2 linked regions of the Danio rerio genome follow. The main gene of each other region encodes a partner of the protein of the gene in region 2 in a complex. Links are inferred from orthologs where the notes say so. Each region holds a gene or a part of one and is shown on either strand. Other genes may lie near its edges.

Region 1 (7,430 bases), on a different chromosome or scaffold from region 2:
ATACTGTAATATATAACATAATTTGGGAAATATATGTATATAAAAATAAATTCTCAGAAGGGCGAATAATTTTGACTTCAACTGAAAATCGTTTTGAATAATCGTGATTACAATTATGACCAAAATAATCGTGATTATGATTTTTCCCATAATCGAGCAGCCCTAGTCTTACTCATGAATGAATGCAGCACACTCAGAGACGTAATAAGGCACTCCCAGGTACAGAGGTCCAGTCTACACGCTGAAATACATGCTAAGATCTCATGGCCGTGATGCAGCTTCAAAAATTAGTTTCAAACCGGAAGTACGCATTTGCTTGAAATGACGCAAAAACAACCAATTTTCACTTTTTAGTGAGATATACGTGTCCTAATAGTGTTTTTAGCCATGTGGTACACATAAGGCTGTCAACAGCTTAAAAAAATGTGTTTTGCTGTTTCGTCACCCTTGAATTGTGAAGAAACAGAAAACATAATTTTTTTCAACAGATATTAAATTCAATGCAATAAAGGAGCTCTCCACTTTTTTTTGGAAGTCCTCTAGAGTTTTACAGTTTTTGAATCCATTCATCTGATCTCAGGGTTTGGCGGGAGCATTTTATGCTTGGCTTTTACACTCAAAAAAATATTTTGGGTTTTGTTCAAACTACTTATTTAACCAACAATAAAAGATAGATGATAATAGAAGAGCAAATTGAAATATGAAATGATTTGCAAAGTTTTCTGTAAATTAGAGCTGTGAACTTGGTCTCACGGTTTGGTTCGGTTACGATTATCATGCCATCAATTCAGTTCAATTCGATATCTCGATGCATCACGATGCATTGACGATGCTTTACGTACACAATTCTTTTATTAAAATGTATGAATATATTTATCTACTATTTGTAATACAATGTTGTCCTTTAATACGCACAGTGAGATATATAAACAGTACCATTAAACAACACAAGCATTTATAGCAAATAAAGAAATATAAATATCATGCTCGCTTTCTGAGCCTTGTCTACCAAGTTTTTACACCCCTTTGATTGGTTACGCGCTCAACAAAAAGGGCTATGATTGGCTCTTCCTCACTGCTGCTCTTCACAGATGAGTGACACTAATAAACGGCAGCGGTGGTCACAGCTAATCCTTGATAGAGACGGTGGAGAAAACTCTGCAGACAACCGCTCGTGACTGTATCCAAAGGTATCGCTGTAACAGCCGAGAGGAGGGGAAAAGTCATGCCAGCAGGTCAAATGAGCCACAGTGAGAGACAGAGAGAGAGAAGTGGAGTTTACTTTCTCTCAATCGCAGTGAAATAGGGACATCTGCTGTAAGTGTCAGTGAAAGACTGTCCAGCAAACACACACACAGTGAAATAGTGCACAGCTTCTGCGTTTTTAAGTAGTAAGTATGGTAAACAACTGCCACATAGCGCATATGAGATAAATGACGTCAGTATATAATAATGATTTTTACTGAACCGATACCGAATTGTCCTCGTATGCATCGCGGTGCACCGAAGAAACAAGTAATTTTGACACCCCTACTGTAAATCCTGAAATTCAGCTTTAAATTGCAGGAATAAAGTTCACTATACAACATATGAAAACACTTATTTTTAAAATATAAATAATATTTCACAATAATGCCTTTTTTGTTACTGTATTTATGATTAAACAAACACCTTAGACTTTTTCAAAATGATAAAACAGTTCTTGATCTAGAACTTTGACCGCTAGTGTAAATTTGCATGTATCTTTTCATATGGGAGTTTTCTTATGCAATATGTAGGCTACCTTTTCTGTAATTCACCTAGGGCTACTTTAGGATTTTATTGCTTCGCCACTGATATATTAAAAGATATCATCATGAAGATTAAAAGTGGCCCTCAAATGCTTTGATATCTTATAAGTATCTTTTAAAGGCGTCCGTCACTCCCTCAGGCCTCTTGCTAATCAGTATGGAGCAGTGAGGTGTTTGAGGAGGAGAGCGGAAAATAGAGGAATGCTTTGGGAAAGAAAAAAGCCCAGGGAAAAGTGACTGCACACTAATTTGTTCCACCATCTCCTTACTTCAAGGACAAACCCTTCATGAGAGAGAAGAGCCTGAACTGGACACTTGACTAGAAGAAGATCAGTTTAAGAGTTAACCATATGATGATGTGTCATGTGACCATAGAAGAATGAGATAAAGATTTATGCAGTTGCAGTTGTTTAACAGAGAGAACTTTTTTTTTAACACGATTCTAAACAGAATTTCTATACAGAATTCAAACAAAGTTTGAATAACTGATTTCTTTTATCTTTGCAATAATGGCAGTACATAATATTTTACTAATTATTCTTCAAGATACTTGTATCAGCCTAAAGTGAGATTTAAAGGCTTAACTAGGTTAAATAAGTTTACTAGTTAGGGTAATCAGGCAAGTCATTGTATAGCAGTGGTTTGTTTGGAGAAATAAATGGTTGAGGTGGTTAATAATATTGGTAATTAAAATGATTTAAAAAATAAAAACAGCTTTTATTCTAGCCAAAATAAAACAAATAAGACTTTCTCCAGAAGGAGAAAAATTATTAAAAATTATTAAAATTAATTAGCCCTTTAAGATATATTTTTTCTCCACTGTCTACAGAACAAACCATTATTAAGCATTAACTTTCCTAATTACCCTAACCTACCTAGATAACCTAATACACCTAGTTAAGCCTTTAAATATCACTTAAAGCTGAATAGAAGTGTCTTCTAAATATTAAGTAAAATATTATGTACTGTCATCATAGCAAAAATAGAATAAATCAGTTATTAGAGATGAGTTATTGAAACAATTATGTTTAGAAATGTGTTGGAAAAAAACTTCTCTCCATTAAACAGAAATTGAGAAAAAAAATAACTAGGGGGGCAAATAATTAAGGGGCCTAATAATTCTGACTTCAAATATATATATATATATATATATATATATATATATATATATATATATATATATTTGCATATATTTACATAATACAAAATTAACAACATTTTGATATAAGTGACCCAATATTACTATAGTGTTTTAAATGAAAATAAATAGTTAAAATAAAAGTCAAAATATAGGTATTTATCATTATTCAGTGTAACATTTCTTTTTTTGCCAATAATATTAATTGCAGTTTATGCAGATACAATATTATATAAATACAAAAGTAAAAATGCTGCCGTTTTATATCCAGTCCCTATCATCAAAACCAAGTACAAATGACCATTTAAAATAAACATTTAAAATAAATAAACAGAGTAAATGTACAAAAAGGGAGTTATTCCTCTTCTGCTTCAAGATCAGTAGTATCATTATAATTCAACAAAGGTTTATAAAAAGCTTTTAAAGAGCCTCTTAATGAAAACCCTATTTAAACACACAAAAGAAATAATTTTATCTATCAATCATGTGAAGATGAATGTTTCCACTTAAAGAGAATAAGCGTCCCAGTGTAACAGATTACTATAAGTCATTATACTAAATATTATATTTGAAATGAAAATCAGTCAAATCAAGTGATAGTGGCATAATATAATAACTCAATAGTTTAAAATAGTTTAATATGAAGTTTGATTCTTTGATCACATGACTCTAGTTTGAAAAATGCAAAGAAGTTTTGCCGAATATTGCTAAATTAAATGTCACAAATCAGTGAAATTGAGTAATAGGGGCATGATATAAAGATTTAAAATGACAGTGAATTAGTATTTCATGCCTGCGCTTTGATTTTAAAATAGTAGAATGTAACGTTTGATTCTTTGATCAAAAAATTTTTTATTTTTTATTTTTTACCTTTTTTTTTAAACATTTTACAGCAAAACCCTGTCCCCAACAATTTAACCCCTTACACATGAGGGGATACATAAAAAATAATAATGAAATTAGAATTTTAAAAAATCTATTAAAAGAAAACAACAAAAATAAATAACAGCTATTGCCATTTATTATTACTTTACAGAGAATACATTTGGACATCAGGTTACATTGTGTTGCATTGTAGTAACCTCAAATTACAGTTATTTGTTATGATAACAAATGATGATGATAAGTTAAGTTACCTTCAAATATACAAATCTAAATATGTCATAATACTTTTCCACCTCTTCAGAAAAATACCAGTCTCCATTTGTAGACATGCAGTCATTTTTTGCATTATATAGACCTGTGTGTCTCTGAATCCACTGAGCCACCTTTGGAGAGCTTTCTTCCATCCAATGTACTGTTATTGATTGAATAATTATTGTTGGAAATACGCCAAGATATTCCGCCACACTGAATGTTTTCCTTTGTAAATAAAAAAGTCCTGTTGCTCTTTAAAAAGAAAAAAAAGAGATGCTGTATAACGTATAAACATTTTAGCAGTATTAAACCTTTACTATGTTGATACTTCAAAACCTTTTTTTTCAATATACAGTAGAAGTCAACATTTGAAGTGGATCAAATGTTTTTCAAAATGGTTTTGCTTTGATGAAACGTTCATCAAACCTTCAAATGTTGACTACTGTATATTACTACTACAGGATATAGCCTGAGCTAAAGTAGCAGTCATAGCTGGTTAAATGTCTCATTAGCACTGTAAACAATGTTTACTCTAGAAGCTGTGTCTGTAGTAAAAGTATGCTGTGGATAGAGTCATAAGCTGGATATCATTTGTGTGTGTGTGTGTGTGTGTGTGTGTGTGTGTGTGTGTGTGTGTGTGTGTGTGTGTGTGTGTGTGTGTGTGTGTGTGTGTGTGTGTGTGTGTGTGTGTGTGTGTGTGTGTGTGTGTGTGTGTGTGTGTGTGTGTGTGTGTGTGTGTGTGTGTGTGTGTGTGTGTGTGTGTGTGTGTGTGTGTGTGTGTGTGTGTGTGTGTGTGTGTGTGTGTTCAGCTGAAGGAGGGAGCAGGAGAGGCTGCTGCAGCGACGACGGTAAAGCCTGAGGTTCTGGAGCAGCTCGGAGAAGCTATATTTTTGGCTGAGGAGGCTTATCCAGGCATCTCAGACGTCATGGTCACTCAGCTTATTCAGCGGCTACAACGGTAAGGACTTCCTCAAGGGTCATTAGTGTTTTTAAATCTATTAAATCTCCGTTAAACAGAAATCGGAGGGTGAAATATACAGGAGGGCTAATTATTCTGACTTCAACTGTACAAGTATTTCAACTTCCGTGTTCTCCTATGCAGGTTCTCTAGGGCAAGAACATCATCGTCATCGCACCAGTGATTACTCCATTGGCCTGTCCGTCTCTCTTAAGTCCCGCCCCCTCCCCCCGGCATCAGCTCAGCGAATCCTGACACCAGCAGACTCTGTGACGTCTACCCTGGAGGACCAGCTGTCCTTCTCAAACTCCTCAAAGCTTCCCCTAGTTTCACTCTTCTTTTATAATCTCCTGGAACACTTTGGAGTGTGTGTGCGCAAATGTGTGTGTGTGTGTGTGCGTCATAGTGTGTTTGTAATGGAGACTGCTTAAGCAATGGAGAAAAAACCTAGATGTAACTCCTCCGGCTGAGCAGAGCGTGATTCTTTGGAGGCAGGTCGTTTTTTGCATTAACGCTTTTGGAAGGAATGCATTAAAAGTATGCCATCAGAGGGCGAGGAGGCCCGAAAAACAAAATACAAGATAGTGTGCATGACTCTGAACAAAATGCATGTGTGGGGACGGATGTGTGTGTGTGTGTCTGTGTGTGTGTGTGTGCGCATCCAAGCCCTGATGTGAAGGAGATTGCAGTATTCGTGCTGAAATCTCAGGTAATCCAGGAAGACAGAGGGCGCTATGTTTGGATTTGTGTACAGATCTGTGTATATAGTTTCAATTTTACAGACCTTTAAAAAGAGATGATGGATTTTTTTGCAAATGAATCACTGTGTACAGATGGCCAAGAGCTTCTGTAGATATTGTTAGAAACAAAAGAAAGGTAAATATTTAAAAAACAACAACAACAAAAATCAAGCCTCTGAAATGGCCATTACTGAAATGCCTTGCCTTTTTATCAAATGTACATTTTTGGGGGTGCTCTGTTAATTTTAATAAGAAATTAAAGGGTTTTACTCAAAAAAAAAATTTATCTGACTTTCTTATTTTCATCTGTTTTGGACTTAAAATGATACTTTTCGTCATTTGTGTTATAGACAAACTACCATTTTGTAAACATTGAGCATGCGCACAGCGAAGTTGCAGAAAAAAACAGGAGCGTTAGCATTTACAGCAAGTGAATGCTATCCGATGCAGTACAGAGATTGTTGTTGTATTAGAGATAAGTTATATTGATTACATATTATATATATTATTTACATAATGCTTTCAGCGTATTATAACAGCTCGTCACCCAGTGACAACCACAGTTATTCTGCAAAATTAAGCGATGTGCGTCTGACAGGTCCATTTGCGACAGCACCCTCCCAATGGATATTGGATAAGGTGAAATGGCCAAACATCCAGCCCCAAATATACAACTATCTCATTAAAACTCCACGTGATTCTACAAGAGAGAAGCTAAAGGCCAACAAGTCTTTGGATGCCTACAATTTTGTTCTGTGTGGTCATGTGCAAGAGATAATGTTCCATGATTACCAGATTCAAAACTGTAGCGCTAAAAACCGAGGAAAAGGCCAAAGACAAGGAAAGAAGATGGAACTGTACAAGGCCTGGGTAATCATCAACAAGCAAAACAACTGCATTCTGACAGTGAACTGCACCTGTACGGCAGGGTATGTGAAATGACACTTTTACATTTCATTCTTAGAAACTCTCTGCAGTTTAATGAACCATATTTAACTGTTTTTGCTGAAATCATTGCTGCAGTCAAAAGTGAGTAATGTGTATGATTCAGCATAGCCTAAACTCACTTGATATGAAATGAGAGAATTAGTTAGCTTTTTGTTGAGCATTTTTAAATAGGTCATCACTCCATTCAGCTCTTCTGATGGCCATAAGCCAAAGACGTCTGCTGTTGGCAATAAAAGCAGTGTGGTGTACGGTAAAATTAAAGTTTTGTATTTGGACTTTCGATTTTGGCATCCTACCGCACAACACCACATGTTTGCTATTGCAACCGGTCTATTTTTGCAGTCGGTATGGTATGGTTGGTAATTCCCCTATTAAGCCTGGTTCATACTTCTGCGTCAAGTGATCGGCGTGACCCTCGGCAAGCCTTTCACGGTGCAGTGCATTTATACTTCTGCGCACTGTTTCTGTTGCTCTGCAATAACACTTCTGAAACACTAGCTGGCAGTGATGTGTTTATGTACTTCACTGGTGTTTTGTTTTTTCTGAATGCTTCCTTAATGTACAAGTGGCTCAAACTCACTCATTTTGAGGCAGGAACCAGCGCACGTGCAACAACTTTAACCATAAGATAAACACAAAACAAAACTTTCCATCTGGAGTTCCTTCACGGGACTCCACACCTGTAAACACTCGCTCCAGCAGACTCGCGCGGCTCTCGG
Region 2 (7,430 bases):
GGAACTGCGTAACAATTAGGGATGCAATGACTATAGATTTGGTTGTCTGATTATAGTCTGAAGAATAATCATGGTTTCACGGTTATCACAATTATTATGCATTTATTAAATTCAAAACACTACTAGTTTGAAAATCACATGAAAACTGATTATATTTTATAGTGTTTTGTTTATTGCAGCTCAGTAACCAAACACAGCACAAAATATGAATAAAAAACAAACAATAGTCCATTTCTCTCTTTGGACTTAAAAATACATGAAAAAGTTTTTAAATTTAAACACGAGCCATAATTTTCAATGAAAATAAATGACAGAACAATGAATAAATAAATAAAAATAAGAAATAAAAAATAGCATTTGTCTAATGTTAATTTAAGCTATATATCAGCTAATAGTTTAAATGAACTGTTGTTCATCTGCGTCCATACAAACATAATCACTTTAAGAATTTGCTAACGTATCTTTTGTTTACATTGCACAAAGCCACAACTCTCACCACTACAGCAGGAGATCATTTCTACAGTCTACTGGAGGTCCGCTTGCGAGCCTTGCGCACACCGCTCCAATATGCACACGTCTCTATTGAAAATAATGATCTTGTGTGCGGAAAAGACGCAATATGTGAATGGCCTGCTGTTATAGTTAATCCAGTGTGCGTGCGAATTAACCTCGGTATAAGCTCGGAACTTTAAACTAGCACACAGTTGGGATAACTTATAGTTTAGTTGCAGCAATTTTGTTCAGTGCAAAACAAACGTGGCATTGAGAAGCCTTCACAATAAATTGACCATAATGAATTAAAGTGCGGTTAATAGTGAAATCGGCAAATCATTGCATCCCTGTTAACAATATCAGTGCATTGTACAAAAGACCTTTTCTACAAAAATATTCAAATATTTTGAGAGGGTGCTCGCTGCAGAGCCATCTGAGGAGAGCTGAGCTCCAGCGAGGAGGAGCATGAGCTGTCGCTCCTCCTCCTGTAAGCTGTTTTAATGCGTACACCAACCCCACCCCTAACCCTACCCCCAGTGACATCACTCGTAGAAGAAGTGCAAAAAAGGTGGAGCTCAAGCTTAAGCTCCCCCTCGCTGGAGCTCAGCTCTCTTCAAATGGCTCTGCAGCGAGCACCACTTGAATATTTTCAGCTGCTTGCAGCAATTGCTTATGTTAGGTGACTCACGCTCTGCGCAGTTTTCAACTGCAGCTCGTGCTGTATTGAACAGACGCATGTCACTTCATAACTATGGTAACCGTTTTATGACTAAACTAAATTTATTTTTGATGTCTTGGTCACACTTTTCCTGCGGGCTGCCAATTGAATAGCCCTGACCTACACAGACCTGTGTTTGCAGCAGGTCGCCACCCAGAGCGACAGGCAGCTAAAAAATCACTGTTAGTTTGAATGAGGCATAAGTCTTCATAAAATTTTGGCACTTCAAAAACAACAAAAACAAAATAGCTACATTTATATCTTTTATCATTTAATCATGATGTTTGCGGTTTCACACATTATGAAAGACCGACTGAATTTTTTTATAATGGTGAACCAGCCCTGGAAAATTACTCATATTCTTCCAATACATGTCATTACAATACAAAAGTTATCAAAGTGTGACGAAGCCTGTTAGAATGTCGTTATAATGAGCCATTAATTTCAGGAATAACTGACAAATTATGGGTGAGAGTTGAAAGTATGAGTGGATTTGAAATTTGATGCTGATTTTGCATCAAACTTTCAGCACACAAGAATCCTGAGTGAGATACCTTTCAGACACAATGTTTTTTGCTACATCAATGAAATTTTTTCGAAAAAAAGTTGGAGGAGAACATTTTGCAGGGTTTTGTCCCTGAATGAACAAATCAAGTGAGCTAATAACTCAATAATCTCTTCATTAAGACAGTCCTTTGCTTCAGGTCAAAATGAATCTGACATTTTGAACTAATCGCTTGAATTAATAACCCTCGCCTAAAAATCAAGATGTTACTTTATGGTCAAAATCACACACCAAAAACCAATAAGTGAAACAAAGAAGGTAATAACAAATACTTACATATGCCCTCTAAACGTGTATATAGGCTCCACATCAAAAGAGGCACTTCTGCAAAGCAAGTTAAAACTGTGTTTAGTGGTTTATTTAGAGCTGTTACAGATAAAAAACATTTTGAAATCAATGCGGCTATGTAAAACATTAATTCAAACTCAGGACATTGCTTTCCTTGGAAGGCCACTGCGAGCACTTACTTTTTGGCAGGAACGGTCTTGTGGAGGTTCCACAGTTTGAGCGTGTGATCTTCTGAGACTGTGACCAGCACCGGCTCTACAGGATGGAAAGCCAGGGCTCGCACTCCATCAAAGTGGCTACGCAGGGTATATTTGGGATTCCATGTCTTCCTGAATGCATCCTTATTGGCTGGCAGCTAAAAATAGGGGGGCATTTTAAAGGCATTGGAATAACTGTGAAATGATTGATTCATTAAGGATTGACAGTAAGAGAATAGGATAGCTGTCCTATCTGAGTACACAGCAAAGCACACCAGGCATGAACAACTGATGTTCTCTGTAACCTTTATACAGAATGAAACTAATATAGTACAAGACATTTGAGTAAACATGATGGGCTTTGTTTTGTGTAACAATTAACTGATAGTTAAACAATACTGCATTTAAAAATTAAGCAGGGGATCAGACAGTGTTTTTCAAGTCGATGCTATTATTTATTAATGCCAGTGTAAAGTATTATTAAAGCAGAGGAGCAGTCTGGGTACTTACATCATAGCTGTATTCAGCCTCGTCATTGGAAACAGTCAGATCGGCGAGGTCTCCCAGGCCCAGCACACTTTCCAACATGTCATCAGAACCCATGATAAAGGACTTGCCCCCACCAGGCGTGAATGGCAGAGGCTCAGCTAAGAATAGAAAATAGAAGAGAAGGGCCCAGTAAACAAGGCGCCACACCTTGGAGTGGAAAACGGGGCTTAAGCAATACAGTAATATGTTTTATAGCAGTTAACAGCTTAATAAATCTGTAAGCCACTGGTAAGAGGCAATTAGGGGTCGATTAGAGATAGATGAGATCCATTTCTTGTTACCCAGTGTTTTAACCTAACACTTTTGTCCACTTCCCTATTTTTTTGTGGTGAAGGTAATGGGTGGATATATCTATGGTCTTTTTATAATCTTTGGGAGTATGATCTACCATCCTCTAACAGTGTAAAATAAGCAAGCCAAGGGTACAATGGATAACAATAGAGAAAGTTGAAGCTTCCATTTTTCTGCCACTTTTGAAATGGTTAAAAGTAAAAAATAAAAAAAAAATAAAAAAAGCTAGCTTTGAGCATGCAATTGTAATGAGCTCAACAAAAAACAGAGCCTAACACAAAAATGGATTCTAAAGTGTCATTTACACAAATACAATTCTTTTTAAAACCAAGTTGTTACAGTTACATTGATGGCAGATCAATGATAAGGCGAAATAACCTACTGTAACATCTGCAATTATATAAAATAAATAAATGCAACATGCATGAAAACATACAAACCAAGTCTCCGATATGTTACTCATTAAAAAATAACGGCACACAGCATACATTTCCTTATTTGGGGTTCAAAAACAACACACAATATAGCCCAAAGTCAGTGCAGACCTCTCAACTGCATATTCAATCTTCACTAGCACATGTAGCCTCTGTTAGAAAGTAATTCCATCATTTAGAGTTCTTAATAGTTGAGAAGGCAATGATAATAGGTAAACATGGCAGTTTAAAAAAAAAAAAAAAAAGCTTCCTTTGTTTTCATTCACCTGGCTTGCACATGAGCTAGTGATGCTTCTCTGTAAACCAATAGCGTTCAGCTGTGCGTCTTGCTCCACCTTTTGTAACCCATTTGTTGTGATAGGTAACCTTCCAAAAGGGTACCTAAAAAGTGGTACGCTACGGTTTGCTCGTTGGTACTTTTTGACAGTGGAAATGGCCATAAAAGCATACCGAATCATACCGAATCATACCATACCGGACCGTAACAATCAGTGGAAATGAGCTGCTAGTATCCACACTACTTAATCATTTTTGACCAATAAAAACTTGCCCGGCTATCCACAATCACTTATTTTTACTGTGAACGTAAATATAAAAATAAAAAACATATTTACAAACTCTATTCAAGTAACATTCATATGTGGTTTGAAATGCTACTTAAATAACATTTCTTCTGGAAATCTGTTTTAGTTTGACCGTTCTTTCCCTTTTACTCATTTAACTTCCTTATGTCAGACACTGTTTGTAAAAAAAAAAAAAACATCCTTTTTTCTGAAGGACAATCTTGCTTGTACAAACCTGCTTGTACAATCTGTAGCCAAATATTCCTTACAAATTCTTTCTGAACAACTGCTTTAGAGAGGTTTATGTTTCCGGCTTAATTTACTTTAGAGGTGTTAGGTGCATGCATGTCTTATTAATGAAGCCGCAATGGGTGTGACGAATTAAAAGAAAGAATTATGATACACCTGGACCTGGAGTTAAAATGCTCACTTTGAAAAGGTAACTTTGCTTGCAAACTTTTGGAATGAAGAAACGTTCAGAAACAAAAGTCTGGGTTAATCAACAGAGTTTATGTTTCAGGAATACACCACGTATTGATCAAATGTTTAAATGTAATAAACATCCCAATTTAGGGGTGACACTTCACACATAATTATGCTACTTTATCAAAAATGCATACTCTATAGTAAGATTTACATAATCCTTAGCTTAGAAATAGGTCAAAGAGAAGTGAGTAAGATAAAAAGAGTGAGAGATACAAAAAGAAAAAGCACGGCTGCGGGATGGATGTAATGAGCTGATGTGTTTGACCCAGCTGGCTCTGGTCGGAGCAGTAAGAGAATCTCCTGGCAGGAATGCTGATGCAGCAACTGGCCTCGTTAAGATTCTACTGCAGGGCCGGTGTGTGCCACAATCACATGCAAGGAACACACATGCCCATACAGACACAGATTCATATAGTTCATTATGTTTTCACATTTATGCAGTCTCTTTTCTTTAATTAAAAGACTAGCAAACTTGCATAATGTCAAAACAGCTCATTTCCATACACTAAACATTAATGCTAATGTTTACTAATGGACTATCATCATCACCTGTATGTTCCAAGCTTTGTAAGACCACAAAAAGTCAAAATCAACAATGTCATATTTGGGGCAATAAAAAAATTATATTCTTTATTAACACATCAATATGTTTTATTTACTTCTAAAGGATCATGTGACAAGTAATGGCTGCTGAAAATCTGTTGTCATAAAAAAAAAAAACAATTATAGCATCACTATGGTGCTATGATGTCCTGTTTAGAAGTCTTCAATATAAACCACTTTTGATTTGACCAATCACAAATAAATGAACATTCTAAAATCTAATATAAAAAACAGAGCTGGATCAACACTAGGCTGGGTTGATAATAAATAGTTCTTGTTTGGATGAACCTTTAAATTTCAGTCCATATTTCAATACTACACACTAATAAGGATGTCCTGCTTAATAATCAAACACTCAAATCCTGTAAGAATATTAAGAGATGTGCCCTGTTTCATCACTTGACAATTATTATGTATTTCAAAATATAAGACATTTTTTCATTTAAAAAGGATGCAACCTAAACTCCAAAGTGACTTAATGGAATTAGTATGAGGTGAGCAAAACAAATGCATTGGTGGATTGGTGATGAATGAGACACACAACTATTTAGATTATAGCACATATTTTATATATATATATATATATATATATATATATATATATATATATATATATATATATATATATATATATATATATATATATATATATATAATAATGCTAATCATTTCAGTTTTGCTTTGAATAAACAAGTTTAGACTTGACATTTATATTGAATTATGCTTTCAGCCACTGACATAACAACTGCTTTTTATTCTTGATAGTTTTTTCATACCTATTGTTCCTTTTCTGTACTGAGCACTATTAAAAAGATTTGTTGTAGAGTGACATAGTAGAATATACGTTTATAATGTCTGTAGGCATTTCAGTTTATTTAGGGCTACTGGCAGCCAATTTCATACTACTTTGGAATGAATTATAGACTTGCACACCAATGTGACCTGTGTTTTTCACTCAATAACACAAATTATACTCAGTCACACTTAGTGGCTCTTTATGCGACAACAATTTCAGCCAATATCTCAAAACGTTTGAAGTATTTTGCTTGTTCGTTTAGCATTTCTGTGACATTACCTGCATAAATATGAAAATGGATTTCAAAGTTAAAGTTATTAAGAACATTGTCGCCTTTTTTTCAATAACTATTTTTTTGGGGCTTACACAATGACGTCATGTGTGTGCACATTTAGGGAGATGCAGATTAAAGGCAAGCCCAAATAAACACACAACAGTGGCACAGTACATGCTAGTGTTGTTGATGCTCAACTGTTGGCTAATGCTTCAGGAGCAAGGTGTGGATTTACTTTGCATTACAAGCAACAGCATAGACGCATCTTACACACTTTGAATTCTACATAAACATCAGCGCAGAGCCGCCAACTGAACATCATTCCTTCCTTGGGGTACTATTTTCTAACAAGTAGGGCTGAACAATATACCGCTTGCGCATTGATTTCGCAATGTGTTTTTCCACAATAGTCACATCGCAGTATTCAATTGATTAAATATCAAAATATAAAGAAAATGCTGAATATAATTTTTATATTATTGCATACAAGGTTTAAACAATGATTTGTACAATATTTTTGTATGGTTTTGTATTTGAATACTGTTAGACTCCACAAAAAAAGCACTGTTTATTAAACTTTTATTTTTACTCTGTCATATTTAGACACACTGCATAGAAATAGATTTGATCACCTCAGTCAATCTCAAAGAATGACATCTTTCCAAATAGGTTGGAGCTATTCAGTGAATCTAGTGATTATATTCATAACGCAATATTATATCGCAGCAAAACTAAATATTGCCATATCAGTTTTTTTAACATTATGCAGCCCTACTAACAAGGTGAAAACATCAAATACTGCTCTGCCAAATATAAATCAGTGTTTTAGGACATTTTCATAAATGTATTTTGAAAAAGATATGTAAATGTGAAACTTTTTTTTAATGCAAGTAAAAAAAGTTTTCAGTTTTTGGTTACATTGTTGACAAGAAAATGTAGCCTTAAGTCACTTTTTCACTGTGTGGTTAAAAAAAAGCAAAGTGGATGAGATTATACGTTTTTTTGCACCGCATCTACTAAAATGTAACCTAATTCCTGGTTGCCACATCCAGATCACACTGGATCTGCTTCTTGAATATCAACATGAGGAACGTCTGCACCTTCTCTACTGACCATGATACAGCCATTAGAAGATGCGTGTCAGTCATTGAAAATAATCCCACAGCGGCTGATG

What was found.
Region 1: strn3 (region 2) and stk24b share a complex: the UniProt entries of both Homo sapiens proteins name them as parts of the core of STRIPAK complex. The link is inferred for Danio rerio from reciprocal best matches to the Homo sapiens genes STRN3 and STK24.

The regions. Positions count from the first base shown.
Region 1 is NC_133181.1:13,507,408-13,514,837, forward strand, and holds the end of stk24b (serine/threonine-protein kinase 24), read left to right. Parts: intron 1-4,874; coding exon 4,875-5,023; intron 5,024-5,167; coding exon 5,168-5,207; 3' UTR 5,208-5,898; downstream 5,899-7,430. UniProt on the Homo sapiens protein: Serine/threonine-protein kinase that acts on both serine and threonine residues and promotes apoptosis in response to stress stimuli and caspase activation.
Region 2 is NC_133192.1:30,204,040-30,211,469, reverse strand, and holds part of strn3 (striatin-3), read right to left. Parts: intron 2,908-7,430; coding exon 2,771-2,907; intron 2,419-2,770; coding exon 2,243-2,418; intron 2,100-2,242; coding exon 2,052-2,099; intron 1-2,051. UniProt on the Homo sapiens protein: Calmodulin-binding scaffolding protein which is the center of the striatin-interacting phosphatase and kinase (STRIPAK) complexes.